Linked DNA regions of Macaca mulatta. The protein of the gene in region 3 interacts with the protein of the main gene of each other region in a pairwise test. Links are inferred from orthologs where the notes say so. Each region holds a gene or a part of one and is shown on either strand. Other genes may lie near its edges.

Region 1 (4,147 bases), on a different chromosome or scaffold from region 3:
GAGTGGAGACAAGCCAGGAAAGAGCAGAAATGGGGCCTGCAAGCTAGCCAAGGCTTGGTGTTGGCGTGAGCACACAGGCATGTACCCACGCACACACACGCACACTCTGCACAGACTCACCTTCTCCAGTAGCTGCCTCAGCTGTTTTGTGCGGGCATCCCGTGAACACATGGTCTGCTGTGGGGCGACCACTGTGCAGATACACCTGCCCTCGCTGTCCTGGGCAGAGCTGTACACCTGCCAGCTCTCCTCAGGGTTGGTGGGCAGCACCTGGAGAGGGGCGGGGCGGGGAGGGAGAGGGAAGGAGAGAAAGGGAGACCATGAGGTTGTGTATCAGAGCCAACAACCAGGGGAAAGTGTCCACATCCACCCCCAGGAAAAGGCATGAGGAAATGGTCCCAAGACATGTTTGACCCAAAGGGAAGAAAGGGTCCCTGGGAACAAAGAAGCATAGGTCTCCCGTTAGGAGGCCCAGGGCTGGAAGGATGTCAAAGAGGCAAGAACCTTTACATTCTTAAAATTCAAGTTCAACTCAAGGGATGTCTGGAGTTTGTCATCTGGCCAAACTGATCTGCTGGGTGGATGGAAGGGGCAACTGGAGGCCACAGACTGGACAAGGGGCAAGACAGGAAAGCAAAGGTTGGGTGGCTCGAAATGGGCATGTATGTCAGAAACAGGATATCCTTCCCGTAAGTCAAGCACAGGTGACTGGCACCACCAAGCCTCGCCCTGCCATTCCCTGACACTTGCAGAAGAAGCACCCACTGTAACAGCCCCAGATCCAGCAGCCTATTTGCCCAGAGCTGTGATGAACCCCGAGCGGCGGCAACCTCCCTGCCGGCAGCGTGGCAAAGGCTGACCCAAGAAAACACTAGGTTTCCAACTCCTCGTGGGCTCCACCCGCGAGCCATTTGATGAATGTCACCAAATTGCCGGTGACATGCTGTGCAGGGGTCACCCTCAACCTCAGTCCTGAGGTTTGCCCAAAGACCACCAAGAAACCGGAGCTGCCTATGTCGGGTCTAACCTCACAGCCCAGCCCAGCCCAGCCAGGTACCGGGGCAGGCACTCATGAGCCTCCACGCTCCACCCTGCTGCCGGCCCCACTGTCTCTAAGCACGCTCCCCTCCGGTGGCATCAGGTCATCTCTCCGCTATTTTTAGCATGAAGATGGGGAGGAGAAGTTGGGCGGGGAGAATCTATAGTAGTCATATCTTTAATCTCATTCATTCCTAACCCGGGAAGATCGGGACCAGCAGGCCGGAACAAAGTCATCATGGAGGAATCGCCCTCAGATTCCTGAAGGAGCTGCGGGGGTGGCCTCAAGAGGAGTCTTAGGAGGGAGCCACACCACGGAGCCCTCTTCGCAGAGCACTGAACCTCTGGCAGCAAAAAGGGAGAGGGAGGGAGATTCATGTCCTTCACCTCGCCTTTCAACCTAGAGGGGCAGTGGTCTGGGGCGCGCCTTCCCAGCAGCAACCCCTTCCCCCGCGGCCCTCCGGGTGGCTGGTTCCAGCTCAGCCTTGCCCAGCCATCTAAGTCAGCTCTGCCCAGAAGCAGCCCTGGCCACGGTTCCCCTCCCGCTAGGCTCGAGAGGGAGACTCGATTTCAGTTTCAGAGGCCAGGAGGGAGGAGTGCGCGCAGAAGACGAAGGCAAAGGCGAGGCAGTGAGCACCCAAGGGCAGGCTCCCAGGGGCCCCACCCCAGCCCCTCAGCACCGTCCTCCCAGGGGAAGGAACAAACCCTCCTATGGACTGGGGAGGAAAGGGTGTCTTGGGACTTTGGGAACGAAGGCGCGGACAGGAGCTTCAGAGCCCACCGGCCGGGGCCCCACTCCCAGTCCGGTCGGGCCAGTCTGGCTTTTACAAACTAGGGCGGGCTCAGAGTCCCCGCTGGACCGAGCCCAGACTAGGGTCTAGCGGTGACTCCACCCCTCACTCGCTGAGTGTGACCTTGGACAAATCCCCAAGTCCCCAGCCTTAGTTTTCTAACCTTTTCAATGAGGGGCTCATGATTAGTGACCCAGGACTCCAAGCCTCCGAACCCCCACCAAGCTCCCCGGGCCCCGCGGCTAAGCGCCCAGGTGAAGGAAACGCCGCCCCGGGGGTGCGCGGGGAAGATCGAGTGGCCCAGGCTGGGGGAGTGGGGAGCAGGGTCACCACTGCTGCGCCGGCTCGCGACCCCTGCCCTTGCCCGCCCTGTTCCCTGCCACCTCCCTGGGAAACTCGGGTCCCGCGCGGCGCCCGCCCAGCCCCGAGCTCCGGACCGAGGAGGGGGAGGAGGAGGAGAAGGAGGGGCCGCGCCAAGGCGGCCGGCGGGCGCACTTACGCCGGTGCTGCGGTCCAGCGTCCCGCCGCCGGCCGCCGAGAGCTTGGTGGTGTTGAGGCCCACCAGCGAGGGCAGCGTCTGGGACATCCAGTTGGTGATCATGGCCATGGTGCTCAGCACGACCCCGATCTTGAGCAGCGGCACCGACATCGCGCCTCGAGCTGCCTCCAGCGCCCGCTCCAAGCTGGCGCTGGCTCCCGCGCCCGGGCGGCCTTCAGGCGGCGGGCACCGCGGCGGGCAGGGGCGCCCGGCTGTATCCCCGCGCCCCCTCGGCCCGCCGCCGCCCGCCCGCCGCCGCCGCCGCCCCGCGCGCCCCGGCCATCGCCGCGCCTTCCCCGGGCGCCAGGGAGGGTGGCCAGGCGGCCTCTGCCCGCCGCGCTCCGCGCCCCGCGCTGCCCGCCCCGCGCCCCGCCTTGCCCGGCTGCGTCCCTCCCGGCTCCTCAGCCGCCACCGGGAAGCGCCGTCCGGCTCTGAGCGCTGCGCTGGCTGCGCGCGGGGGCCGCGGCCGGGAGGCGGGGCTCGGCCGGGCGGGGCCGACGCAATCCGCCCAGGAAATGGGTGGATTTTTCCTCTTGCTCGGCTCCCCGCCGCCCCCTGGCTGCCGGCAGCGAGATCTGCAAACTCCAGTCCGCCCAGGAGTTGGGATCAGGGTGACATGAGGAGACGGACGCACCACCACCCCCCCAGATCATAAAATACCCGGCGGCGGCGTGGGGACCCCAGCTGGGGCACGGCCCGCGACCCTCCTGTCCCGGGGCTTCTCCCATCCTCACGCCCAGGCACCCCTCTCCGATCCCCGCAGAGGGACCGCTTTGGGGCAAAGGTTGCCCGCAGAGAGACGGCGCCATCCTGCCTACTGGGGCCCTTTTCCGCGGTGATTCGAGGGTCCCAGCCAGCCTGGGCCCTCGCCTGAAATCCAGCAGGCAGGGCCGGTTCCGAAAAGCAGCCAGACTCGCGAAGGCCTCCAGCGCCAGGGGAGCATCGGGGTATTGGTGCAGAGTTAAAGGCGCCCCTGCGAACCCTGGGCAGCCGCGGTGCCCTAAGACCTTGCTTGGGAGGAAGGGAGCCAACCGGCACCCCTGGCACCGGCACAGCAGGGCGGGGGCTGGGGTGGTCCGCTGTGGCCTGCGGTGCGCAGGGAGGGGCCTGGGAGAGCGCACACCGGGCAGGAGCTGCATACGGTCTGGGGCTCAGACCTGGGCCTCAGGAGCTGAAGGGGCCACGCCCATGAGCGTGGTGTTGGGGAGGTGGGGGTGTGGGGCGGGGACTGGGGTCTGTGGTGGAGGGGTGTGGGTTGGGGGGTGTCCTCATTGGCTCAGGGGTGGCGCTTGAGTCCTGGCGCCCAGGCCCAGCTGCAGGGCAAGTGGCGCAGGCTGCCCCTCTTCCCGGCTCTCTGCGGCGACGGCGGCAGGACTCACGCGTGTCAGTCCCACCCGAAGCGCAGCAGGCCTGACTGGGTCAAACGAGTTAATAGGGTTTTTGCATTTGCAGAAGGCTTCTAATCGGAGATGAAAGCCGCTTCCTCCGGGGCCTTCCATTAAGCTTTCCCAGCCATTTGGGAAGGAAAGACTCCCCCAGCTCACTCACTACACTCTTCTCTGCCTGGGTGAAAATTAATCTCCCTTCCTGGATGGGATTTGAAAGACGGACGCGGACCGGAAGGAGCGCGCCTCCCTGGCGCCTGCCTGAGAGGAACAACGCCTTCCTGGGGCTTTTCTCTCTGTGCGCGCTGTCCTCGGCTGCAGAGACTTCAGCTGCAGCCGTGATGATCCTGGCCTGAGTGCTGGGTGTGAGACCCGCTAGTTACATGAGCCCCTCA
Region 2 (4,114 bases), on a different chromosome or scaffold from region 3:
TGTTAGGTGCCCTGGCCCTGGTGGCCTCTTTCATCTTGTACTGCACATATAACATATAATACTGTAATCAACAAATTTTGTTAAACATTCCCTTGGGAAAGGCATAATGGTACTTTCTCCTCAGATCAGCTTCTAGAAACAAAATTATTCAATTCTATGAGACAACAGGTTCAGAAGGCTAGACCAACTCTTACAACGTCCAGTTGTAAGCTCCACCAAGCTTGACTTATGCAGATAACAGGGCGAGAGTGAATTCTGACACTGGTACCACTTTCTCAGCTGCACAAAGGAGATAGTAGGGAAAAGACCTCAGGCCAAAAAAACCCAGAAGATGAGCAAAGGAAGCCAGCTGAGGAAATGGTTATGGCCATACCTGTGTCTCTCATGCCAACACTGACCTTTACCAAAAACATCACAATAGAACAGAAGATCCTAAGCAGGTCAAGAGAACTAAATAGCAACTGCTGAACATACACTCATATAGCCTGACTTATGAGGAGCCTCACCACCCAAAGCAGGTGAAAGCCTTTTTCTTTTCTAAGTGCCTCTGTTTATCCTTCAATGACGAAAGATTTACTGTTAATTAAGGTATTTCAGAAATGTACAGATTCCAGAGTAGAATAAAGCCTTTTCCATCAAATAACCAGTTACAAAAACAACATTAAGAATTAAATGTTTCCATCTAAAATTGCACCATCTCAGATGCTGGGGAAGTACATCCATTTTGTGACCATAGCATAGTCATCTCACCCAGCATTTTCTGAGAATGGGACAAAATGTACCAGAATGTGTAAAATGAAATTGCCATAGCTATTAAGTCCAATTTCCTCATTCAGTATCTTGAATTCATTTGTTTGGTATGGTAACATACACACATACACACACTCTCTCACAAAAAAAATCCTCAGGAGCAACACTGAAAAAGATGATACTATCTTAGAATTATCTGAAATGTATTTAGGAAAGAACTAGGGTGACAAGTTTGACCTTCCATAAATTCATCTTTTTTTTTTTTGACTGTGCAACCTCTAATTTCCTCTAATTTGGAGAAGGGAGGGTGGGTGGAGAAAGAAAAAAAGGTGCAAAACATCTAATTCAGAGTGTACAATCTGTGTGTGTGTGTGTATATACACATAATGTGTGTGTGTGTATTTTTCCCCCTTCACCAAGACCTTGGAGTTAAATAAGAGGAAAAAATGGCTCACAAGACAAGGTTTCAGGACTAACCCAAGGGAACACCTCCACAGCTGGAGAATTTCAGCTCAGGGGCAACCTGGCTGGGAATATCAGAGGCCGCAGCATTATCGACCAAGAGCACAGGCCGCACCACCAGCATCCCAGGCGCCTCTGCCGTGCGCATGTCCCTCTTATATAAAGAGATGCTTACAGTCCAGGTGCTTTTTCTTGGGGCCCATCACTTCATGAGTAGTGGCTTTGCAGACCGCTCTCGCTACAGCAGAGCCTGTCACGCTGTACTGAGCGGCGGCGATCCGATCCGTGAGCGTTTGGCCCGACATCTTCTCTGGTCGCGTCTACCACCTCCTCTTCTGCAGGAAACAAGGGGAGACGGTCCGGCTTTAATCCGCAGACCCTCCCCTCCAAGCACCCAGGCCTTGCCTCCTCCAGCCGCGCGGCGGCTCTCTCCTCCTCCATCCCCACCCTGGCACCACCTCTTGGAGCCAGCAACGCGCCAAGCCCCGCTCCTGCGATGCGGTCCAGGGAGTCTTGGCCGTGAGTGGGGCAGTCACGGAACCCCAGCGTGGGCTCCAGTCTCAGCATCGTGACACCGTCCCCATTCTCCCCCAACCCCCACACAGGACCAGACTCGCCCCCTGGGGACCCCCCTGTCAATCAGCACTTTCCCCGCAACCTGACACGCGGGTGCTGCGCTAGCCACGACGTGCGTCCGGGTTATTCCCTGGGCGCCGCACCCACCGGTGCCCACCTCCCACCTTCGCAGACTTTCCTCCTAGCAGCCTGCAGGCTTCGGGGAATGCATCGGCTACCCAACCCCTGGCTGCCTCCCTCCTCCTCCTCGCGCTGCTGCAGCAAAGGGCTCGTCCTCCCTCAGTCGCGAAGGAGATTATCCTAGCATTGCGCCATGTTATGCCCTCGCTTCCCCTTCCTTCCCCGCCGCCGGCTCCAAAGCCTCGCCGAGGCCGATAGCCCGGGCCCCTTCCCCCCCGGTCTCCAAATTCCTGCCGCAGGGGCCGCCCGGGAGCGCTGCGGAGGCGCCGGAGTCTTGGGGCACCTCACCCTTCCCGGATTTGGAGCGGAGCCGGGCTGACAGCGCAGCCCAGCCCCCCCGCCCGCCCTGGAGCGCTCCGCGGAGCTGTCACCCGGCCGCTGCCCTTCTCCGTACCCTGGGATTATCCTCTGTGGATCCCCGCGCGGCCCTGGCGCGGGGAGGGGGCCGAGTACGGCCGCGGGTACTCACCCCGCCCCTGAGCGGCGCCGCCCGCCGCAGGATGAGCGGAGCCCGGGCAGCTGAGGGAAGCCGCGCTGGTGGGTGTGTGCGACCGCGCGCAGACCCGGTGCCCCTGGGCGCAAAGTCTCCAGCCCTGGCCGGGCCCCGCTCCTCAGCTCCGCGGTCCCGACACCCGCCGCCCCTGGCCCCAGAAGCCAGTACCCGCCCGCCGCCGCCTCTTCTGCAAGCGCCGCCGCGTCTCTCTAGCGCTCCAAGCTGCGTCCCCATCCCCGCCCCCACCTCAGCTGTGGCTCCTCCGACGAGTCAGGTGACGGCGGCGGACAAACCCGGACGAGCCCTCGGCGGAGTGCCTCGCGGCCCCCTCCCAGCTACTCACACACACCGCCCCCCGGGGCTGGGAGCTTAAAGGCGAGGGGGCGCCTCGCGCAAGCATCCCCGGCAAGCGGGAGGGGAGAAGAAGGAGGCGGGGAGGCGAGGAGGCCGACACCCACCCAGCTCGCCGCTCTCCGCTGGGCTCCTGGCCGCCCCGCCGATGCTGGCTCCGCACCCGGCACGCACTGGGAGCGCGCACCGCGCACACCTGCCCGCCTACTGCTGGGGGCGCCCTGGGCGGTGGGGGCGTTGGCCAAGCCAGGCGAGTGGGCTTCTCGGGTTCTACTCGGTGAAGGCCAAGGCAAGGGCGTCGTCGCGCGCTGCCTGGCGAAGCCCAGCCCCTTCTCCCCCACACTGTCGCTGACACGCCCGCCTGTCAAAGGCGCCCAGGCCCAGATGAGCAGGGTGATTTTAAATGTCAGATCCTGCCGGCCATCCGCGACCGTTACCTGTGCGTCTTCAGCTCCTCAGGCTCCTCCGCTTGTCTCAGTTACAACTGGGAGCCCGGGTGGGCCGGTAATTCTAGCCACTTTAGTCTTAAAGGGATACTGAGGTCTGCTGAAGGGCGAATAATTAACAGCCATTAATCGAGTCCCAGGTTACCTTCGACAGTAATCATTTGAGTGCATAAGGATAAACCCTTCGTACCCTTTAAAAGTAATTCTGCCAGTTGAATATAGTGTTGGAACATCCGTCAATTGAATATCAAGTGTATACTTGAATAGTAAGCAGGAATTTCTAAACAGGGATGTGGAGTTGGTTAATAGCTTCACATGTTGACATTTTCAAAGGTTGTTATTTATGTTCAACTTTTTTTTTTTAATTCTCACAGTAGCATGAAGATCAAAACTATATTTGTGAACTTTCCTGGCATTTTTCCCCCTGGCTTCTGGTGGCTTCTGCTCAGCCTTGAAGCCATGTATGGATACCTATCAATCTCAAGGTTTTGTTATATATTCCTCTCTTTCACCTGGTTCAGTGTTCAGTATGCAGTCATGATTTCCTGACTGTTGAGAATGATTCTAGCACTAATTGGAAGCTTAATGACTAAAGAGAGACAGCTTAAGAGCACCATTGTCTCAAATACTAGTTTTACTGTATTTACGGGGGAAATAACGCAATTCTATTTAAAAAACAACAACAACAACAACAAAAAACTTATACTCCAGTTTTATAGCAGCTTAATATAATGGTCCCAGACTGGAGGAAAGCCAAATGTTATTCTACTAGCAAATGAATAAACAAGACATGGTATATCCACATAATGGAATACTACTTAGCAATAACAAGAAACAAACTAATACCATTCATGAA
Region 3 (3,500 bases):
ATTCAGCAGAGGAGATAGGAGCCAGATGTGCTTTTTAAAAAGACGAGCAACATAAAGGACCCGGGAAGGGGAGCTTGGGAGTCTAGGCACAGAGGCCAGTGTACTGGCAAAATCTGCTTCCAAGTCTCTAAGTTTGTATGCTGGACCTGCACCGGGGGGGCCTCCTAGGAGTCAGTCTGACACCACTATGCACCTCCACGACCCACTGCTGTTGAGGGGGCTGAAACCTACCTGTTCCCATTTGGGTCACATTTAAGGTTAGCCCCCAGCCAACCACCCACTAGGTATGTGAAAAACTGTATTAATCATACTCTCAATACAAGTCCAACCTGCTCCTCCATGGGGGACCACTCGGCCTTCAAAAGAAGGAAGACCCTGGGGAAAGACCTTCTCCAACGTTTGGGCAAACATGGCCCAGGCTGGACCTAACCAGAGAAGCCTGAGGCCTGACACCCAAGTTTCTAGCCCACAGTGAAAAGCTCGGGAAGAAAAAAATCTACTCCCTATACAACTGAAACAGCAACCGAGAGAGACAGAGAAAGGGTTGAAGAGAGAGAGAGGAAGGGCAACAGACAAGCAGATATCAGAGGCTGGAGATGCAGGAAGAGAAGAGAGACTCTCGTAAGACCCAGGGAAGAAGAAAAGTGCTCCTGCAGCCACTGCAGCCCCGGCTGGAAGCAGCCACCTGTCCTCAAAGGAGCCCCAGAAAGGAGAAAGCCAGAGGGCATGGAAGCCTGGGCCTCCAGCCTCCAGCCACCAGCCGGGCACAGAGTACCTGCGGGGTTCCCGATTTTATATTGAAAGCTTGCAGAACTTGCGTATAAGATACCCTTATTTGTCTCATCATTCAGTTTTAAATTATTCCTCCTGTATCTCTGGGGCTCCAGAAGGGGTGGGATCAGATTCAAAGCACAGTGTTTGACAGACGCCACTGAAACGCCTTCCCTAAACCGCCCGCACATGTGAGTCCCTCACCCCCGACTACCTTTTACTCAAGTACTAAGTAAGTTCAAAATGCCAGGACAGCAGTAGTACCTTGTTGAGACAGCATTTTCCAATTATCTGGAGCAGCTCATTTGTTCTTTCAGGCTCATGCCCGGCCACGATTCGGGCTGGTTTGGCTGACAGTGGCTCTCCCGACACCATTACAACCACGTCTATGGCTTTTTGTAGGAAGCTAATTTTTGCATCTTTATCCTGAAACATTTCCATTGAAAATATAAATATTACAATACTTTGAAGAGTATGCATTATCTTCAGTATGTTCTACAGGCATAGGATAGTTTCTGTTTACATACGAAGCTATTTTTAGATCTATAACAAATCTAGAAATACTGACCTTTTACTGACAAAACAAAAACAATTCATTAAAGCCTTTAATTTAGTTGATAGGCTAGCATTAATCTTTGAAATACTAATCCCATTTTTCAGTGAATAAAACGAGCATGAGATCCAGTTACCACAATGAGAAAATGAAATGAGGAAGGGTATATATCAATTCATGAATTCACTGACCTTGTATTCCAACCACATGCAGCACAGAAATGACACACGCCACACGACCCGGCCTACAAAAAATCCCATCCGTTAAGGCGAGGGGTTAACAGGAGAAGCCCGACTCAAACCCACCTTCACATTATCAGACTTCATCTCGGCGTCTGTGTAGAGGCCCTTCATGAAACCAGTCATTCTAATCACCTTCAAGAGAGAAAGAAAGGCCACCACGTCACTGCACAGACAGCCACCTCATCAGCCTCATCCACTCAATTCCACACTTGGGAGATGTCAGAATTGACTAGCAGCCCAGACTTGAATCATCCACTTACTCAAGAAATGTTTGATGTCTACTACACGTGCTGTGCAGGGCAGAAGCCAGCCAGATCCTCTCAGAACTTAGTCTGGCTGTGTGGACAGATGGGTGAAGATGACACCGTGCAGGTAGTAAGGAAGCACTCAGGCTTGGTACCTAATCCACAATCTGGGAGGGGCAAGGGTGGCAGGGAACCCTTCCTGGAGGAATCATACCTAGATGGGGACCAGGCTTACAGAAGAGTTGGGCAAGGGGGCATTTCAGATGCACATGCCAGACATAAGGAAGTCCACACACTGGGCGCGGTGGCTCATGCCTGTAATCCCAGCACTTTGGGAGGCCGAGGTGGACAGATTACTAGGTCAGGATATTGAGACCATCCTGGCCAACATGGTGAAACACCGTCTCCACTAAAAATACAAAAATTAGTTGAGTATGGTGGCACATGCCTATAGTCCCAACTACATGGGAGGCTGAGGCAGGAGAATCACTTGAAGCCGACAAGTGGAGATTGCATTGAGCCGCTGCACTCCAGCCTGGCAACAGAGCCAGACTCTGTCTCAAAAAAAAGAAGAAAAAAAAAGGAAGAAAGTCCACACAAGGTCCAGGACCCACAGAGTTCTGTGCCAGGGAAATGTACAACGGCAGGAGCCTGAGGCCAGAGAGACACTCGGGGCCTGGTACAGAGGCCCTGTGAAGCCACTCAGGGACGTGAACTGAGCCGAAGGACCACGAGGAGGACCTGGAACAGCCTTTTACAAGAGTCCTTCAGGTGCAATGGAGGGAACAGATTCCAGAAAGAAAAGGAACTTTGGTCGGGCACAGTGGCTTATACCTGTAATCCCAGCACTTTGGAAGGCCGAGGCGGGCTGATCACTTGAGGTCAGGAGTTCGAGACCAGCCTGGCCAACATGGTGAAACCCCCGTCTCTACTAAAAATACAAAAATTAGGCAGACATGGTGGCGGATGCCTGTAATCCCAGCTACTCAGAAGACTGAGGCAACAGAATTGCTTGAACCCGGGAGGTGGAGGTTGGAGTAAGCCGGAATCGCGCCACAGGACTCCAGCCTGGGCGACAGAGTGAGACTCTTTCTCAAAAAAAAAAAAAAAGAAAAGAAAAGGAATTTCTCAGCCTAGTTTTCTAAGACTAGAAGTTCTGCAAGGGTCTTTCTCCTCACCACGTGTCACTACTCACTTCTTAGGATCATGGCAGGCTCCACACCCCATAGCTTTGGTTCTCTCCCCAGTCACCCCTTCCCTCAGGTAACCTGTACCTCTTAATTAGCCCTAAAACCAGCTTTTAGGACAATGATTTTTTCTGTTCCTCTCAACCCCCACACCCAGCCAGGGTCGTGGGTTCTCTCAAATTGAAAATTTTTGAAATGTAGTAGGTTACTGTAAAATCAGTAAAATTTGTAGCAACAAGCATTTTGAACAGCCGGGACCCTTACCAGCAGGCTGCATGGTATGTGGTAAGGACAGGTATGCCCACAGCTGTGTGTCCTAGGTCAGCTAATAAAGCATATTTATTACGGGGAGTTGTGTTTTACAAACAAGACAGTCCCATCCTAACGTCAGCCTCCTCTGGATTCAAGCCACAACTCCTTAATTTGCATCAAGTTAGGTATTAATCAATAAGAGTTTTCATTCCACACCACGCTATGTAAGAGCTGTACTACTATTTTTCTT
Region 4 (3,500 bases), on a different chromosome or scaffold from region 3:
CTTTTGTAGAAATCTCCCTTATCGGATTTCTTGACTTTGACCACCTTAACCTGCACAGGGCGTTCAGTTGTCACTGTTAAGTAAAACACACACTTTTATTAGAAATATTACTCCTTTCACTCATTCTTCTTTTGCTCCTTGCAAGTATAGCTTTCAGGTGCCTAGTAGCTGATACTAAAAGAGGTGTAATACTTTGCAACAAGGGCTTTGACTGAGGAAAGCACAGAATCCTAATAGAAGCATCTCAGTCAGACTAGAGGTTCAGAGTAGACTCCTTGAGAAATAAAGGAATAATATATTAATAACACATTAATTCAGACCAGTTTTAAAGAAAAGTATGAGGTAAAAATCTAAAGAATGATTGACATATGTAAAGTCTGCGAGGCTTGAAAGAGCAAAATAGCATTTCAAAGAGCAACAATATATTTACATATAAAGGTCTTACTATGTTGCCCAGGCTGGTCTTAAACTCCTGGGCTCCAGCCATCTGCCCACCTCAGCTTCCCTCAGTGCTGGAATTACAGGAATGAGCCACTACTCCTGGCCTAATAATTTCTTTATAGCAATGCAAGAATGGCCTAATACAGATACATTATAATTGAGTGAGGTCATTCTAAAGAGTCAATTTATCATTTGAAAAACCAAGTACAATTATACACTACACTAACAAGGGAGAAAATTTTATGATACTATCAATGATATAAAAAGCAGTTGATAAAATTCAACACCCATTCATGATTTTTTAAAAAAATTGGAAGAAATCAGGAATAGAAGGGAACTTACTTAACACTGTAAAGGATAGCTATAAAAACCCTCTACCAAATATCATGCTTAAAAATGAAGTCATTCTCTTTGAGATGGAGCCTGGATGGATAGTCCTAACTAGGAAACTAAACCAACAAAAATAAATAAAAGATATAAAGACTATAAAGGAAGGAAGAAAAATATCACTACCTTCAAAGAGTCTATAAATAATTGGAATTAATAAGAAAGTTTGGCAAGATTGATAGATATCCATATAAAACACCAACAATTCATTGTAGAATTCTAACAATATATGATTTTAAAATGTATTAATGTTAAAAAGAGCTTTCATGACTATCAAATAAAATCTAAGAATAAATCAATACCCAGGAATAAATCCAACAATATACATGCGAAACCTTTAGAGAAAATGATGAAACTCATAAAAGTTATAAAACACCTAAACAGAGAACTGTACCATGTTCATCGACACAAAAGATTCAATACAATAAAAATGTAAGTTCTCTCCAAATTGAACTATAGGTTCAAAACAATTCCAATCAAAATCCCAACAAAGTCTGAAACTTGACAAGTTGTTTCTAAAATTTAGGTGGAATAAAGAACAAAAACAAAATAAAAATAAGATATAAGATGATAACCAGAAATGCTCACACACACCACGACAGATGTCGACACAGGTGAACTAAGACTAAAATGTAAAAGACAAAATTATAAAACTTTTAGAATTTAGGAAAATATTTTTATGACTGTACAAAAGATATCCGGGAAGGATCTTTAAGACACCAAAAGGGAAAGCCATAAAGGATTAATTAATTTCATTTAATTATATTAAATTATAAATTTCATTAAAAGGCATCATAAAAAGTGAAAAGACAAGCCACTACCTGGGATGCATACAACCAACAAAAGACTGTAGAAAGATTATAGAAAGAACTTGTACAAATCAGTAAAAGGACAAGCAACACAATAGAAAAGTGAGTAAAAGGCTTAAACAGGTAAATTTCATAGACAAGAGAATGCAATGACCAAGAAATTCATGAAAAGATGCTCAATCTCATCATTATAGGGAAATACAATTTAAAACCACAATGAGATACTATTTCACTACCACCAGATTGGCAACAACTAACAGCCTGTCAAAGCCAAGTGGGAATTTGTTGACCCAACAGTTTGTTCAATTATAGAGACAACTGGGATATTCAAAACAAAAGGAAATATCTCCTAAATAACAAAAGGATACAAAACAAGTACTCTTTCTTACTAAATACCCACCTGTGGCACATAAAAAACAGTTCTTTTTCTTTTTTCCTGCTTTGCAGACATTCACAATGCTCAGCAGGCGTTCATCATTTGGTGTAAAAATGTCTCTTTGTAACGCATGCTTGATCGCTGTCATCTTTTCTCAGCTGAAAAATTTGGAGTATAGATATTAAGCTCACTCTGAACATCATTCCACCTTATACTTCTGAATTTATGATTTGAAAATGATTTTTGGTTAACAAGCCTAGGAAAAACGATTTACTATATGAATACACCTATATCACAAAAATATAAAGCTGGAAGTTTGGAAATAAAATTAGAGAACCAGTGTTATCAAAATCTAAAATGTTTGGAAATGCTCACCGAGTATACACACACACACCCCCCCCACAAACACAAGATTTAAGAAAAAAATCTTCAACTCCCTGCTCAATCTTTAAATAGTTTTCTACATAAAGAACCCTTACAACTCAACAATAAAAAGACAAATAACCCAATTAAAAATTGAATAAAATACCTGAATAGACATTTTTCCAAAGGTATACAAATGGACAATAAGCACATGAAAACATGCTTAACATCACTGGCCACTAGGAAATGCAAATCAAAACCACAATGAGGTGTCAACCACTTTATACTCACAAGGGTGGTTAAAATAAAAATGATAGAAAATAGTAAGTGTTGGTGAAGATGAGAGGAAACAGAACTCTTGTACGTTGCTGGCGGGATTGTAAAATGGTGCAGCCACTTTGGAAAACAGCTTAGTGGCTCCTCATAAAGTTAAACATGGGCTACCCTACAATCCAACAATTCCACTCCCAGGAGAACTGAAAACATAAGTCCACACAAAAATTTGTACATGAATGTTCATGGTAGCACTATTTGCAATGGCCAAAAAATGGAAATAACAGAAATGTCCATCAAATGATATATAAGTAAAATGTGGAATAGCCACACAATGGATTATTCGGCTACAAAAAAAAAAAAAAAAAGGAAATGAAGTAATGAAACATGCTACAGTATTGATGAATCTTGATAAGATTATGCTAAGCAAACAAAAGACCACGTATTGTATGATTCCATTTATATGAAATATCCAGAATAGGAAAATCCATAGATACAGAAATATAAGTGGTTTTCAGGAGCTGGAGAGGAAGGTGGAAAGGAGGATTGACTGCTAATGGGTATGGAGTTTCTTTTTTGGGGTGATGACAATGCTTTTCAACTAGATAGTAATGATGGTTGTACAACCTTGTGAATATGCCAAAAATCGCTACATTATATAACTGAAAAGGGTGAACTTTATCATATGTAATCTCAATAAAATTGTTATAAAAATAGGTTTCCACTTATCTCCTTTATCTTACCTAACTCAGCATCTTTTCAAACATCAACTTAAGTTAAAATAATTTTTAATCTCTATTTTATTTTTCATATACATATTTGTGTGGATATATATTACTATTTTTTCAACG
Region 5 (4,081 bases), on a different chromosome or scaffold from region 3:
ATGAAAGAGTATGATAAATCATTTTTAATAAGTTAGGAAAATATTACAATAGAAAGTGGGAGGAGAAGGAAAGTTTGGGAAATCAGTTTGTTTTACTCTTGAGATAAAATTTTGATGAAAGATAATAAAATAGAATTTTGAAAAACACCTGATGTTTCCAAGGCAATGATTTTAATCTCTTTTATTAAACTACACAAGTGGTTAAAAACTTGACAATTTGTTTCATATATAGCAAATGACGTGGAGTACAGGGATTTCAAATGAATGCTATAGGAATAAAGAGGAAGCTGTATTAATATCTCTGCCCAAATGATGAATTTGCAATTCAGTACTGTCTAGCTAGAAGTGTCAACCAACACCTATTTCCCCTTAAATAATGTAATTATGCATAAAACACTTTGTAGTCTTTTTTAAAGTTTAGAATAACATCTATATGACATACTCTGTTGTATTTTTCATAATGTTATGCCATGTAAGATATACCAAAACTTTGTATTAACAGTATATTATCAATTTAGATCAGCGATCTCTTTTTCATAGTTAAGATGTCTTTAAAAGATTCTGCAAATGAAATTCTAAAAGATGATTTTGTTAGACCTCAAGATGACTTACATCATTTAAATATATTCAAATGAAATATCTATTTGCCATACACTATTTGAATAATTCTTTACAATGCATTATTTGAGTAATTCTAAAAGTAAACAATACAATGTGTTTGACAATACAGTGATCTCTTTTACAGAGTAACTATTCTGTTTAAAAAACAAAATGTACTTTTGTAAGTTTTTCAAACTAAGGCGAATTTACAAACCAGATTCAAATGTCAGACATCCAAATAGTAGTATATTGTCAAGCAACAAAATTTAATGTATAATATAGCCCTGAGTATATCTCCATTTTCCTTAACAAACTCATTGTCATGTTGCATAGGCATTACTTGATGATTTTTTAAATGCAGTGTGAAAAAATCCTACAGGACATGTTCCAAAAAGATTACCTTCCTTCACATTCGAAGAACTGAAAGTTTTTCAACTATCTACGACAAAGCAGAGGATAGGTTTACCTTGCTTCATTCCAGCAGAATTGCATATATTCTTTCAAAATTGCTCTATATACTGGTATATGTGGTTAATTATATAGAATATATATATATATATAAAATCACTAGCGATTTTGATAGTATTTATATTACATATATCAAAGAAATAAAAATGATAAATAAAAATATGTGTATATGTGTATATTGCAAACAACAGATATATGCCATGCATATTTTTGTAATGATAGTAAATATAATAGTTTTTCAATCTAAAAGCAATAATGATACTCACCAAAAGAAATTTATGAAGCAAGCAAACAATGTAACTAAATGTTGTATTATAAAATCTGGTAGCTTTTAATGTGACTCAATACATGGACAATGTTAACTTATTTCCACAAATTTTTCACAGTGGTAAAACGTCTGCCTTTTTTTTTTTTTTTTTTTTTTTTAGTAGTTGTGGAGCATTACTTATTTGGAGAGACTTATTTTTTCATTCTTAATTATAGGCATCGCTCTCATATCTATTTTAGAATAACTATACTCCACAAGTCAAAGATAGGTGGGGAAGAGATAAACTCCCATCTTTTTGGGACACACAGTCCTTATCATATATTATTTTACTGTTGTGCCACAGTCCATTTTTAAATCCTTCAATAGTCATCATGACTTTCTTAAAAATAAACAAAATAGTTGCATTTCTATATGGAAGACAAACAAAAAATTGAACTGAAAAGCTAGCTCATGATAGACTTGAAACATCTACTAAATATAATTTACTACTAAACATAATTAGGAGTTCCTCAAGTTTGTATGTTGTTTTCCCAAGAGATCATCTGATCATTTGATAGCATAGATCACATCATTATTTGAAATAATCATCATGGTATGCTATAGAAAAGAGCATTTGAAATAGTAAATGTGAGAAAGCAACATTACAATTAAATCTTTATCAATACTTTTCACATCCTTCAATTTTCCATCCCAACTCATTTTATTCTTTATTTTCTCCATATGTCAGAGAAACTTCTCCTAACTTTTAGGCCTCCATGTAGTTCCTATACAGTAGTTAGTTCAATTGAGAATATATGTCAGGTCAGTAACCTTTATGTAACTGTTACTAAATACAGAAGTATCAACTAGTCAAAATAATAACTGAGATATACAAACTATCTCACAGCAATCAAAATAATATGTTATAATCAAATGACATTCTGCATATTCTATTACTGCAGTGGCTTATTAATCAAGAAATCATGTGTTTAATTCTTCTGCAAAGAAAAACTTATAAACTCAATTTCTATTGAAAAGTTTTCCCAATGAAAAATATATATTCCTGAATAAATACATATATATATGCAGTATATATAACATTTATGCTTCTTTGCAAACTACTGTGATAATTTAAAATCAATCTACCTAATTAGTGAGTTTGTCACAAACTAAACATTATGCCACAGTAAAATACATTTTTAGTTACTTTGTACTTACAACAGTCCTCTACTTCTTCCCACCAAAGCATTTTGAAAAGTGTATATCAAGGCAGCGATTAAAAAAACCTGGTAAAGGTTCTTCAAACTTTATTGCTCCAGTAGGCTTAAAAACAATGAGAAACCAACAAACTTCAGCAGCTTTAAAAAAATAACACTTCAGTTTTTCCTATTCATTTTTCTCTGAAGGTAATTGCCTCTAAGATCTGAGTCCCGTAGGGGGAAAGTGAGTGATCCCAACACTGAGTGAGTCAACACAGTAACTGATGCCAGGATTCTGTAGAGGCCCCTGGATATTTCAAATTCCAGGACCTGCGCACAAGCAAGTGACCCGCCTTCTCTCTCAAGTTGGTTTCCCATAATAGGACTGTCCATGGTCACTACATATAAGGTTGTGCTTCCAGCATGGCAAGCTCTGTGAATTCAAATAAGCTCAACTGTGTTCTGATTAATATCCAAACCAGAATAGCACAGTGGACATAGTACTAGCTTTTAAAGCCTTCCAAACACAAAAACTATTCAGTACAAAACCATAACAATATTTTCTGTAACTTTCATGTGAATTTATAACAGAGCAGAAAATCCCGATTTAAAATTGACTTTTAAATGCCTTTTTTATCCTCTCAACAACACCAAAAATTTCACTCTACCAAATAAAAAGAAATGCCCAGAATAATCTATGCATTTGTTATGTATCCACTGCCTACCAAAGTTATTTTTTCCCCTTGAGATTTTTGATTGCAAAAGTCATGTATTGATGATGCCAACAGTCTGAATAAGAGAAGCAGCAGCAGAACACAGCAGCTGAATTCTGAAGGCAGAATGTGTGTGTAGGTCTCATGGGACATGTTTTCCTGCTAAAATAAAGAATATTCTTATAATGGAGCAAAGACATTTTTCTCAAATCCTAAATTTCAGTTGTGAATTATGATAAAACTTCTTTACTAACAAATTATTCTTTCTTCCATTTCTCTGCTGCCAATTCTTAAAACACCATTTTCTTAGACATTGAGTTAATGATCATTTAATGGTTCTGAATGCAGGCTCTTTTTTTTCTGTATTAAGTGAATGCAGTTGTATTATGTCATTCAGCATGTAAATCATTCTTTGCCAATAGAAGTCTTCTTCATCTTGTTCCTTATTACTTTTATGCAACAGGCGAGCCCCAAATTGATAGAAAACATTGGTAGCATTTTTTAAAGAAAGATATTCTTTTTATAGTTATAATAATCCCTACTAAAATTTTTGTTTGAGTGTTTTTATTGTACCATTTGTTAAAGTGACAGACTCATTTTTCTATGTCAAACATTCAACTGCTTGCGACTGAAATGAGTAATAGACAAAAATAAAAAAAAATTATAGAGTCAGACTGTGATGTTTACCTTAATAGTTAATTATACATTTTGCGTTTTAGAATATTATTGTCATAACATGGCTATTTTCCCCAGCAAAATGTGTATGAGATAAAACATAAGGCTTAATTTTAATTGAAAACATTCTTTTCCCTAGGTCACCTCCTTTCCTCTGTGTGGTTGTCTAAATATGCATA
Region 6 (4,024 bases), on a different chromosome or scaffold from region 3:
TAGCAGCTGAAACGTAAATGAAGATGAGAACTCAGTCTACATGACCTAAGATTTCCCACAAGTCCAGATATTTAGGTTACGCAGACTGCATTATTGTCCGATTTCTCCTCTGCATTAATCTGGAAGTCTACAGAACAGATTAGCACACAACAATCTTAACTAAGCTAGTATCCAACTCTGAAGGAAGGCGAAGCTGGTGGAGGGTTTCCAAGACTGCTTATCCTTCTCTGTCCTTCCTCCCATACCCTCCTTATGTCTTTTTTGGTTTTTGTTTGTAAAATTTAAAAATATTTAATTTTTTTAAATGTATTTTTAGTCACAAGAAAATCAAAGAAGCCACCCATTTCAGTCTTAAGCTCTGCCCTTTGCCTAGTCCTAATGGAGGGTTCTTTGGCCATCTATGTATAAAAGATGAGAGAAGCCAAAGAGACTGGAGAACCACCACATCAATGGGAGCTTTTTCATCTAAAGGTCATCTGTCCACACTGTCCAAATGAGGTTTACCCTGTGAAATAAACTTGGCATAAGTGCTACCTGTTGAGAAAAACAGTGTGAAATGTCACGCAAAGGACTGGGGTGCAGCAGGAGGACTCTGAAAAAGTCATACGTGTAAACCAGCAGGTCTTAGAATGTTCTAATATACTATATGCAGTTTCAGAGTAAACAAATGGTTAATGACACATCTTTTGTAACACATGAATCAGCTACTGATTTGCAAGAGTGGGACACACCCTAGTACCTATGACTCTAAAGTACCTGTTTGAAAAGTGGACCTAGATGTCTGAATTGCCAACCTATCCTAAAATTGGAACAGAATTTTATAACTATGTAAGTTGCCATAATTTAAAGTTAAAAAGATCACTGCCTTTCATTATAATGGAAGTTAATTTGAGAACTTCATTAAAACGTTCACACCGATAATCAAAGAACAGTAGCAATGCAAAGTAAGGTACAGCCAATCAATCCTAGGAAGCAAACACAAGAGGCAAGAGAAATGGCAGGTAAAGGAACTGAAGAATAGCAAATTCAAGAATTACAAGCATTACAAAGTTCTAAAGAAAAATGAATAAAATGAGGCTGGTAATGAAAAAATAACACATCTTACCTTAAGAGGCATCCAAATAGCATTCATAGTGTCAGGATATAAAGACAATACTCAGAAATGAGCAAGAAGTCTTAGTAATTCCCTCGGTTACCAAGTATGAGCAGGTAGGAAAATCTTTTGTTTCGATAAGGTATCTGAAAGAGAGGATTTTCATTTAGACTAAAAAATAATCAAGAAAATGCAAATAGTTTAAGCTACATGGGCAGGGATTTTGAAGTACTATTTGCCTCATCGCACTAAAAAAGTATAGAAAATACAGTCCCCTTTAGAAAACGGCAAATGTGTGTGTGTCTCCGTACATATGTGTAGAAACATACGTTATATAAAAAGAGAAATAAATATGTAACACTTACTTTAGATAATGTAAAATTGCTTATCAAACAGCCAAAATCCCAGAGAGAATAAAGTTTCCAGGGTACCTCATAAACACTAAACGTGATTTGTTAACTAACCATCTAAAAAAAGACCCTTGCTACATTTAATTATATTTAGTAAAGTAAAACCTCTCTAATCATCCCGACTGTCCCAAGATTATGCTTAAGTTTCAGAGTCAATTCCACATGAAAAGTAAAACCTATTCTTGACTGAAGTACTAGAAACAAATAAAATACCCTTCTTCCCCAGAGATCGTTAAAAGCAGACCGAGCAACTTAATTTTGAGGGTAGGAGGAAGGTAAATTTGCCTGGAGGCTGGAGGATGGACTAAATGACCTCTAGTAGGATCCTCGTTCAAGTCCTGGGCCTGAATACAATTCCAGCTTAACCAGTTACTGCTTCGCTTAAAATGGAGGCTTGCCCGCGTAGGGACAAAAATAACAGCACCCACTTCGTTAAAAACAAATGTCGAAAAGTACCCTTATTTAAATAAAAATAAAAAATAAACACCTCTGGAGTGGATGTGTTCTTGCTATGCGTTTGTCACTGAGGCTTCGAAGACTTGGCATCACTTTCCTTACCGCTCACCGGATTTTGGGGGAGGAGCGGGGGGCGGCAGTTTGACTCCTGACCCAAGTCTCAGGCAGGCTTCAAAGCCCCACCAGGGCCCCCAACTCCAGAGCCAGAGGGAGCGGAGAGGCGAGAGCCCGAGATCGCACCTCCCCCCACCGCGGACCCCAGTCCCAAACCTACCCCTCACCCCTCCGCAGTGGGGCGCCTCCTTCTGCCCCATTCCCATTGTTAGGGAGGGGAGAGCGCGGGGTGGGCTCAGGGCAGGGGCGCCCGCGGCCGTTGCCCGGCTCGCTTCAGGAGGGGCGGCCCGCGGGATGCGGCTTCCCTTCCTCTCCGCGTCGGTCCGTCCCACCTCGGCTCGGCCTGGCGCCCCGAGCTCCGCTCCGCGCCCCCGGCCGCGGCCCCGGCCCGCCCCCGGGGCAGCCAGGCCCCCCGGCCACTCGGTCGGCAGCCTGCGGCCCAGGCCTACGAGTGGGCGCTGGGCGGGGGTCCCCGTGCCCCACACACGCGTCCCTCCCCGAGCCCCGCCGCTTCCAGGGCCCTCGGCGGCGCCCGCTCCCCGGGCCCCGCCGCCCCCCGCCTCCCAGCCGGGCCGCTCCCTCGAGCTCGTCGTGTCGGGGCCGCCGCCTCTACCTCACCATCACCCCTGTCCACTCGTGCCCCCACCCCCAGGGGCACCAGTGCCAAAGACAGCTCCCCCAGCCCCGGACCTACCTGCACGGTTCAACCAAGCCTAGAAGTGGGGGCGGGGAATCTTCCGCCCTCCTCTGGCGTTCATTGGCCCTTCAGGGGCATATCGTGAGCGCCATTGGCTGAGCGATAGTGTCCGTCAGAGAGATGGGGCGGGACCGAAGGGGGAGAGGGATGCTGGTGCCTCGGCGTCTCTGTCTCTGTGTATCTCGCTGTCTCTGTCTCTGTCTCGGCCCTTGGAAACGAGAGGCTTTTGGATGAGAGGACTAGAAGCGGGCCTGAGGTGGGAGGAATAGGAATAGGAATCCTGCCAGAGCGTCACGCCAGTTGGCCACTCTGAACCCCCTACCTAAGTCCCCTTTAGGTTCTCTTCTCCATCACCCCCAACCCCTGCCCCTCACCCCTCGAGGTTCCTTCATCCAGGAAGCGACGTGATGAAAACTCCAGGCCGGAAGGCCATAGGGAGAGATGTTATATATGTATAGAAAATATACACATATAAATATTTATATATAAATTCAACCAGATATCAGTTCACTAGGGCCTGGAAAGGAAAGGGCACACATCTCACAGACAGGGAAGGACTTGAGATAGAGCCGGCAGAAGAAGGAATCAAAAATCACTCTTAAGAGCTGGCAACAGTGGTTACCTCCTGGGAGGGGAACTGAGTGCCTAGGGAACCAGTGGGCGGAAGACTTACATATCTCGGCGTATCCTTTGTATCCATTGATTTTTGCACCATTCATCAAGATTCCAATTTTTTAAAAATTGATTTAAAGGTTTAAATAAGGTCCCAAAACCAGGGGACAGATAAGATAGTTGGCCAGGAAAATTGGCACAACATGCAGATTTGGGGAGGAATCTTAGCTTTTAATATATTCAGTTCCAGGTAACAGGGTTTTGTAAAACCCAGTGAAGGTGTCCTAGAGGCAACTGAAGTTACAGAACTTGAGAGAGGGTAGACAATCAGGACTAGAGACTATGTGGGGTCCTCTGCCTGAAGATAGTGGTCTGTGACATGCTAAACTCCCTAAGCAGGGTAATAAGACACCCACGGTAAAAGGTAGGAGAACGAAAAAGAAGGTCAGTGAGGTAAAAGAAACAGAATATTAAAGAGGCATGAAAATTAAGGAAGGAAGGGTCTGTGGAAAATAGAACAATAAAACTATGAGAGAGGACGGGCGCGGTGGCTCATGTTTGTAATCACAGCACTTTGGGAGGCCAAGGCAGGTGGATCACCTGAGGTCAGGAGTTCCAGACCAGCCTGGGCAGCATGGTGAA
Region 7 (3,500 bases), on a different chromosome or scaffold from region 3:
CAGACAGTTTTTTAAATTCCAAGCTCTTGTCCTCTAGGCTTTTGTTACTGCTTTCATGTGAAGATTTCAAACTCTGGAATTCTTCATCTGTGGTTTTCAACTTGCTAGTCAACTCAGAAACTTTCCGCTTATCTTCTTCCGCCAGCATCTTCAGTTCAACTAGCTGCTCTTGAAGAAAAGTATTTTCCTTCAGAGAATTATTCAAGTCAACCTCCAGCTTTTCAAGGTCGGCTTTCAGTTTAGTTTCATCTTGTGCAAGAGAATTCACATGGGCAGACTTCTGCTTTAACTGTTCCTGTAATTCATTTAATGTTGTATCCTGCTTAACACCTTCTTCCTTCAGCCATGTTATTTCCTTGTTCATCTCTTCTTTTTCACACCCAAATAGGAGGATCTTCTGTTTCAGTTCTGCTACCTCTTGTTCTTTTTCCTGTAATTGGATTTCATGTATTTCTTGAAGTTCTTCAGCTTGCTGATTAAGTTTCTTTTCCCAGATTGATATGACATCATTGAGTTCTCGTTGATGAACCTCCATAAGACTTTCTATTTGTTCCTTTTGGTTTGTTTCCAGTCTTGACACTGCATCACTGATTCCAGCTGAGTTAGCCTGTGCCATTTCCAGCATTTTGGCATTAAACTGTTTTTCTTTCTGACTAAGTTCTAGAACAGTATTTTCAAGCTCTTTCTTAAGTTTGGCTTCCTGATCCAGTAATTTTTTCTTTAATGTTTCTTGCATCTCCTTTGCTTTCTGCTTAATTTTTTCCATCTTTTTTTCTTGGTTTTTAAATTTGGTTTCATATTCCCCATTCAAAATATGAATACTGTCCTCCTTGGCTGACAATTTCTGTGTGAGTATCTCAATTTCTTTCTTCTGTCCTTCTCTCATTTGTAAAATCGTATTTTCCTTTTCCACCAAGATTTGTTTTGTCTGTTCCTGTTCTCTGTTACTATCTTCAAGTTTGGACTCATAGACTTGGGTTAAAGATTTTACCTTTTGCTCCATTTCACTATTCTGTTTTTCAAGTTGCTGCATTAAGTCCTGCACCTGGATTTTGTGAGCATCTAACTCAGTACAAACATCTTTCTTTTGTGTTTCAACTTCAGCTACCTGTTTGGTAAGAAGAATTCTTTCTGTTTCCAAATCCAACAACTGCTGCTGCAATTGGGCCAACTGTTCCTCATATGCTTTTGTCTGCTCATGTGTGGCACTCTGGTAAGACTGAAAAACATCCAGCTTAGCAGATGCCTGCTGGAGTTCCCCTTCAGACCTTTTAATATCTGCCTCTAAATTTTCTACATGAGTCTGATGCTCTTTCAAATGCTTGTCCTTTTCCTTCAACAGAAGCTCAAGTTGATTAATTTGATCTTTTAATGCCTTCTCAGTCCTCTGGATAGATACCTCGTGTTCTTTAATGATACTGTCAACTTGCTGCTGGTGATGATTTTTCTGTTTATCCATCTTGGCCTCTAATTCCTGCTTCATTGTATCTGTTTGATCTTTCAGAACAGAAAGTTCCTCTTCTAGCTTGTGACGGGCTTTTAATACCTCTGACAGTTCAGAAGATAATGATTCTAGTTCTGTTTGTTTCACGTCAAGCTTTTCTAAAGTCTTTTCATTCATTTCTTCTATGTGGGCCTGGAAGAGAATCTCTTTGTCTTTCAACAATGTTTCTTTTTCTTGTTCACACCTTTCCCTAAGTTTTTCCATTTCTGTCTGATATTGTTGCTTTAAGACTTGGAGTTTTTCAGTCCAAAGGGCATCCTGCTGATGCTTAAGGCTTTCCAATTCTGTCTTGTGTTTTTCAACCATGACTGTAATCTCCTTATTGTGCTTATTTTTTTCAGCTTCCAGATGAACAGCCAAATCTTTTGACTGATTTTTGTTTTCTTGTAAGCTTTTTTCCAAAGAACTTTCCAATTCAAGAATTCTCTGTTAATTAAAAACAGATGCATTTTTATTAAAGTACGTACTTACCTATTAGCAATGATACACAGACATGATGTCTACCACCTACCTGAAGATCAAAATTTACATAAATAGCTTAACATATCATACCAAACACTAGAAAGAACAAAGAATCTGTGCTCAATTACTAAAGGAATCATATAACAAAGAAAAGATTACGGCCAGGCACGGTGGCTCACGCCTGTAATCCCAGCAGTCTGGGAGGCCAAGGAGAGTAGATCACTTGAAGCCGGGAGTTTGAGACCCAGCCTGGCCAACATGGTAAAGCCCCGTCTCTACCAAAAAAATACAAAAATTAGCCAGGCGGGGTAGCGTGCGGCTGTAGTCCCAGCTACTCGGGAGGCTAAGATTGGGGACCCTTGAACCCAGGAGGCGAAGGCTGCTGTGAGCCGAGATCGTGCCACTACACTCCAGCCTGGGCAACAAAGCAAGACTATCTTGAAAAACAAACAAAAAAAACAACAAAAAAAAGACAAGAAAAGAAAAGATTATATGCTTAACCCAACTCATAGTTCCAGCCTACATACTATTTTATTATTCTCATAATTTTAGAAGAAAAAGAACGTATGATTTTTCCACCTTCAAAATTATCATTTAGAAGGTTCTTTCTTTTTTCAAAAAGAAGGAACTTGCACAAATTTTAACAAAGATTATTATTATCTCATGAAAATGTAATTTTGACTCTGAAGGAGTTAAGTAAGGCAGACCCACAAAATGTCAGAGCTGGAAAGGTCCTAGGGTCCTAAGGAATTACTGAATCTAATCTCTTCACGAGACAGGTGATGAAATTAAAGTACAATTAAATTAAAAAGCTAACAAGTAGAAGATCTAGGCCTCCTAAGTGTCCATTTCACCCACCATGGAACCTTTTGTAAGTGTTCGTAATGGAAAAACTAAGGATGGTTTAGAACTATGAGTAAGAAGTATGGCTGTTTTACTATCTAAATCAGAGGGAAAAAGCTAACAAGTCTAAACATCGTCAGTTTTCAAAACAGGTTGTACATTTCAAATACTGCTAAGGAAAGGGTCAGACAGGGTCTTTAAAATGTACACTCTGAGACATATATACAAATATGTTCATTACAGGACTATGTTTAGTATGGAAAAACTGGGGAAACCAAATGCAAAACAACACACTAGTGTAATTAAACTGTGATATAAGCAGAGACTGGATTACGTTCAGGACATGGCATAAGATAAACCTGGACAAGCAGGAAGGTGCCAGAACAAGTACTGCCTACAAAATGAGCCCACTTCCTAGACATCAAGGATGAGCACGCAATGGAGATGCTGCAGGGTCAGTGAAAAGCGGCAGACTCAGTGGCTGACAGAAATACAGCTAGCTAAAGGCAGAACCAGGAGCACCATGTAATAAACAGAGCCCAAAGCCAAATCCACTCCCATGCATAGCTCACACTATCTAAAAATGAAGGGCACGTATACATAAATCTAATCCAGTAATCTTTGAAACTTTTTACTGACTAGAGAGATAACAAATTTTCATATGCAAATAGTTTCACAACTCCAGAATCTG

The links.
Region 1: the proteins of TRAF3IP1 (region 3) and OLFM1 interact in a two-hybrid assay, tested with the Homo sapiens proteins (2 studies listed by BioGRID and IntAct). The link is inferred for Macaca mulatta from reciprocal best matches to the Homo sapiens genes TRAF3IP1 and OLFM1.
Region 2: the proteins of TRAF3IP1 (region 3) and SNAP91 interact in a two-hybrid assay, tested with the Homo sapiens proteins (2 studies listed by BioGRID and IntAct). The link is inferred for Macaca mulatta from reciprocal best matches to the Homo sapiens genes TRAF3IP1 and SNAP91.
Region 4: the proteins of TRAF3IP1 (region 3) and EXOC1 interact in a two-hybrid assay, tested with the Homo sapiens proteins (2 studies listed by BioGRID and IntAct). The link is inferred for Macaca mulatta from reciprocal best matches to the Homo sapiens genes TRAF3IP1 and EXOC1.
Region 5: the proteins of TRAF3IP1 (region 3) and DMD interact in a two-hybrid assay, tested with the Homo sapiens proteins (2 studies listed by BioGRID and IntAct). The link is inferred for Macaca mulatta from reciprocal best matches to the Homo sapiens genes TRAF3IP1 and DMD.
Region 6: the proteins of TRAF3IP1 (region 3) and KANSL1 interact in a two-hybrid assay, tested with the Homo sapiens proteins (2 studies listed by IntAct). The link is inferred for Macaca mulatta from reciprocal best matches to the Homo sapiens genes TRAF3IP1 and KANSL1.
Region 7: the proteins of TRAF3IP1 (region 3) and GOLGA4 interact in a two-hybrid assay, tested with the Homo sapiens proteins (2 studies listed by BioGRID and IntAct). The link is inferred for Macaca mulatta from reciprocal best matches to the Homo sapiens genes TRAF3IP1 and GOLGA4.

Annotation. Positions count from the first base shown.
Region 1 is NC_133420.1:7,408,700-7,412,846, forward strand, and holds the start of OLFM1 (noelin), read right to left. Parts: upstream 2,801-4,147; 5' UTR 2,479-2,800; coding exon 2,329-2,478; intron 1,115-2,328; exon of another isoform or gene 1,028-1,114; intron 271-1,027; coding exon 121-270; intron 1-120. UniProt on the Homo sapiens protein: Contributes to the regulation of axonal growth in the embryonic and adult central nervous system by inhibiting interactions between RTN4R and LINGO1. Inhibits RTN4R-mediated axon growth cone collapse.
Region 2 is NC_133409.1:102,119,014-102,123,127, reverse strand, and holds the start of SNAP91 (clathrin coat assembly protein AP180), read right to left. Parts: upstream 2,801-4,114; 5' UTR 2,708-2,800; intron 2,688-2,707; exon of another isoform or gene 2,363-2,687; intron 1,548-2,362; 5' UTR 1,518-1,547; coding exon 1,388-1,517; intron 1-1,387. UniProt on the Homo sapiens protein: Adaptins are components of the adapter complexes which link clathrin to receptors in coated vesicles. Clathrin-associated protein complexes are believed to interact with the cytoplasmic tails of membrane proteins, leading to their selection and concentration.
Region 3 is NC_133417.1:143,573,367-143,576,866, reverse strand, and holds part of TRAF3IP1 (TRAF3-interacting protein 1), read right to left. Parts: intron 1,699-3,500; coding exon 1,630-1,698; intron 1,198-1,629; coding exon 1,036-1,197; intron 1-1,035.
Region 4 is NC_133410.1:77,615,710-77,619,209, forward strand, and holds part of EXOC1 (exocyst complex component 1), read right to left. Parts: intron 2,172-3,500; 5' UTR 2,162-2,171; coding exon 2,038-2,161; intron 74-2,037; coding exon 1-73.
Region 5 is NC_133426.1:33,159,100-33,163,180, forward strand, and holds the start of DMD (dystrophin), read right to left. Parts: upstream 2,801-4,081; 5' UTR 2,565-2,800; coding exon 2,534-2,564; intron 1-2,533. UniProt on the Homo sapiens protein: Anchors the extracellular matrix to the cytoskeleton via F-actin. Ligand for dystroglycan.
Region 6 is NC_133421.1:71,124,842-71,128,865, forward strand, and holds the start of KANSL1 (KAT8 regulatory NSL complex subunit 1), read right to left. Parts: upstream 2,801-4,024; 5' UTR 2,768-2,800; intron 2,417-2,767; exon of another isoform or gene 1,991-2,416; intron 1,240-1,990; 5' UTR 1,129-1,239; coding exon of another isoform or gene 1,106-1,128; intron 1-1,105. UniProt on the Homo sapiens protein: Non-catalytic component of the NSL histone acetyltransferase complex, a multiprotein complex that mediates histone H4 acetylation at 'Lys-5'- and 'Lys-8' (H4K5ac and H4K8ac) at transcription start sites and promotes transcription initiation.
Region 7 is NC_133407.1:99,579,349-99,582,848, reverse strand, and holds part of GOLGA4 (golgin subfamily A member 4), read right to left. Parts: intron 1,931-3,500; coding exon 1-1,930. UniProt on the Homo sapiens protein: Involved in vesicular trafficking at the Golgi apparatus level. May play a role in delivery of transport vesicles containing GPI-linked proteins from the trans-Golgi network through its interaction with MACF1. Involved in endosome-to-Golgi trafficking.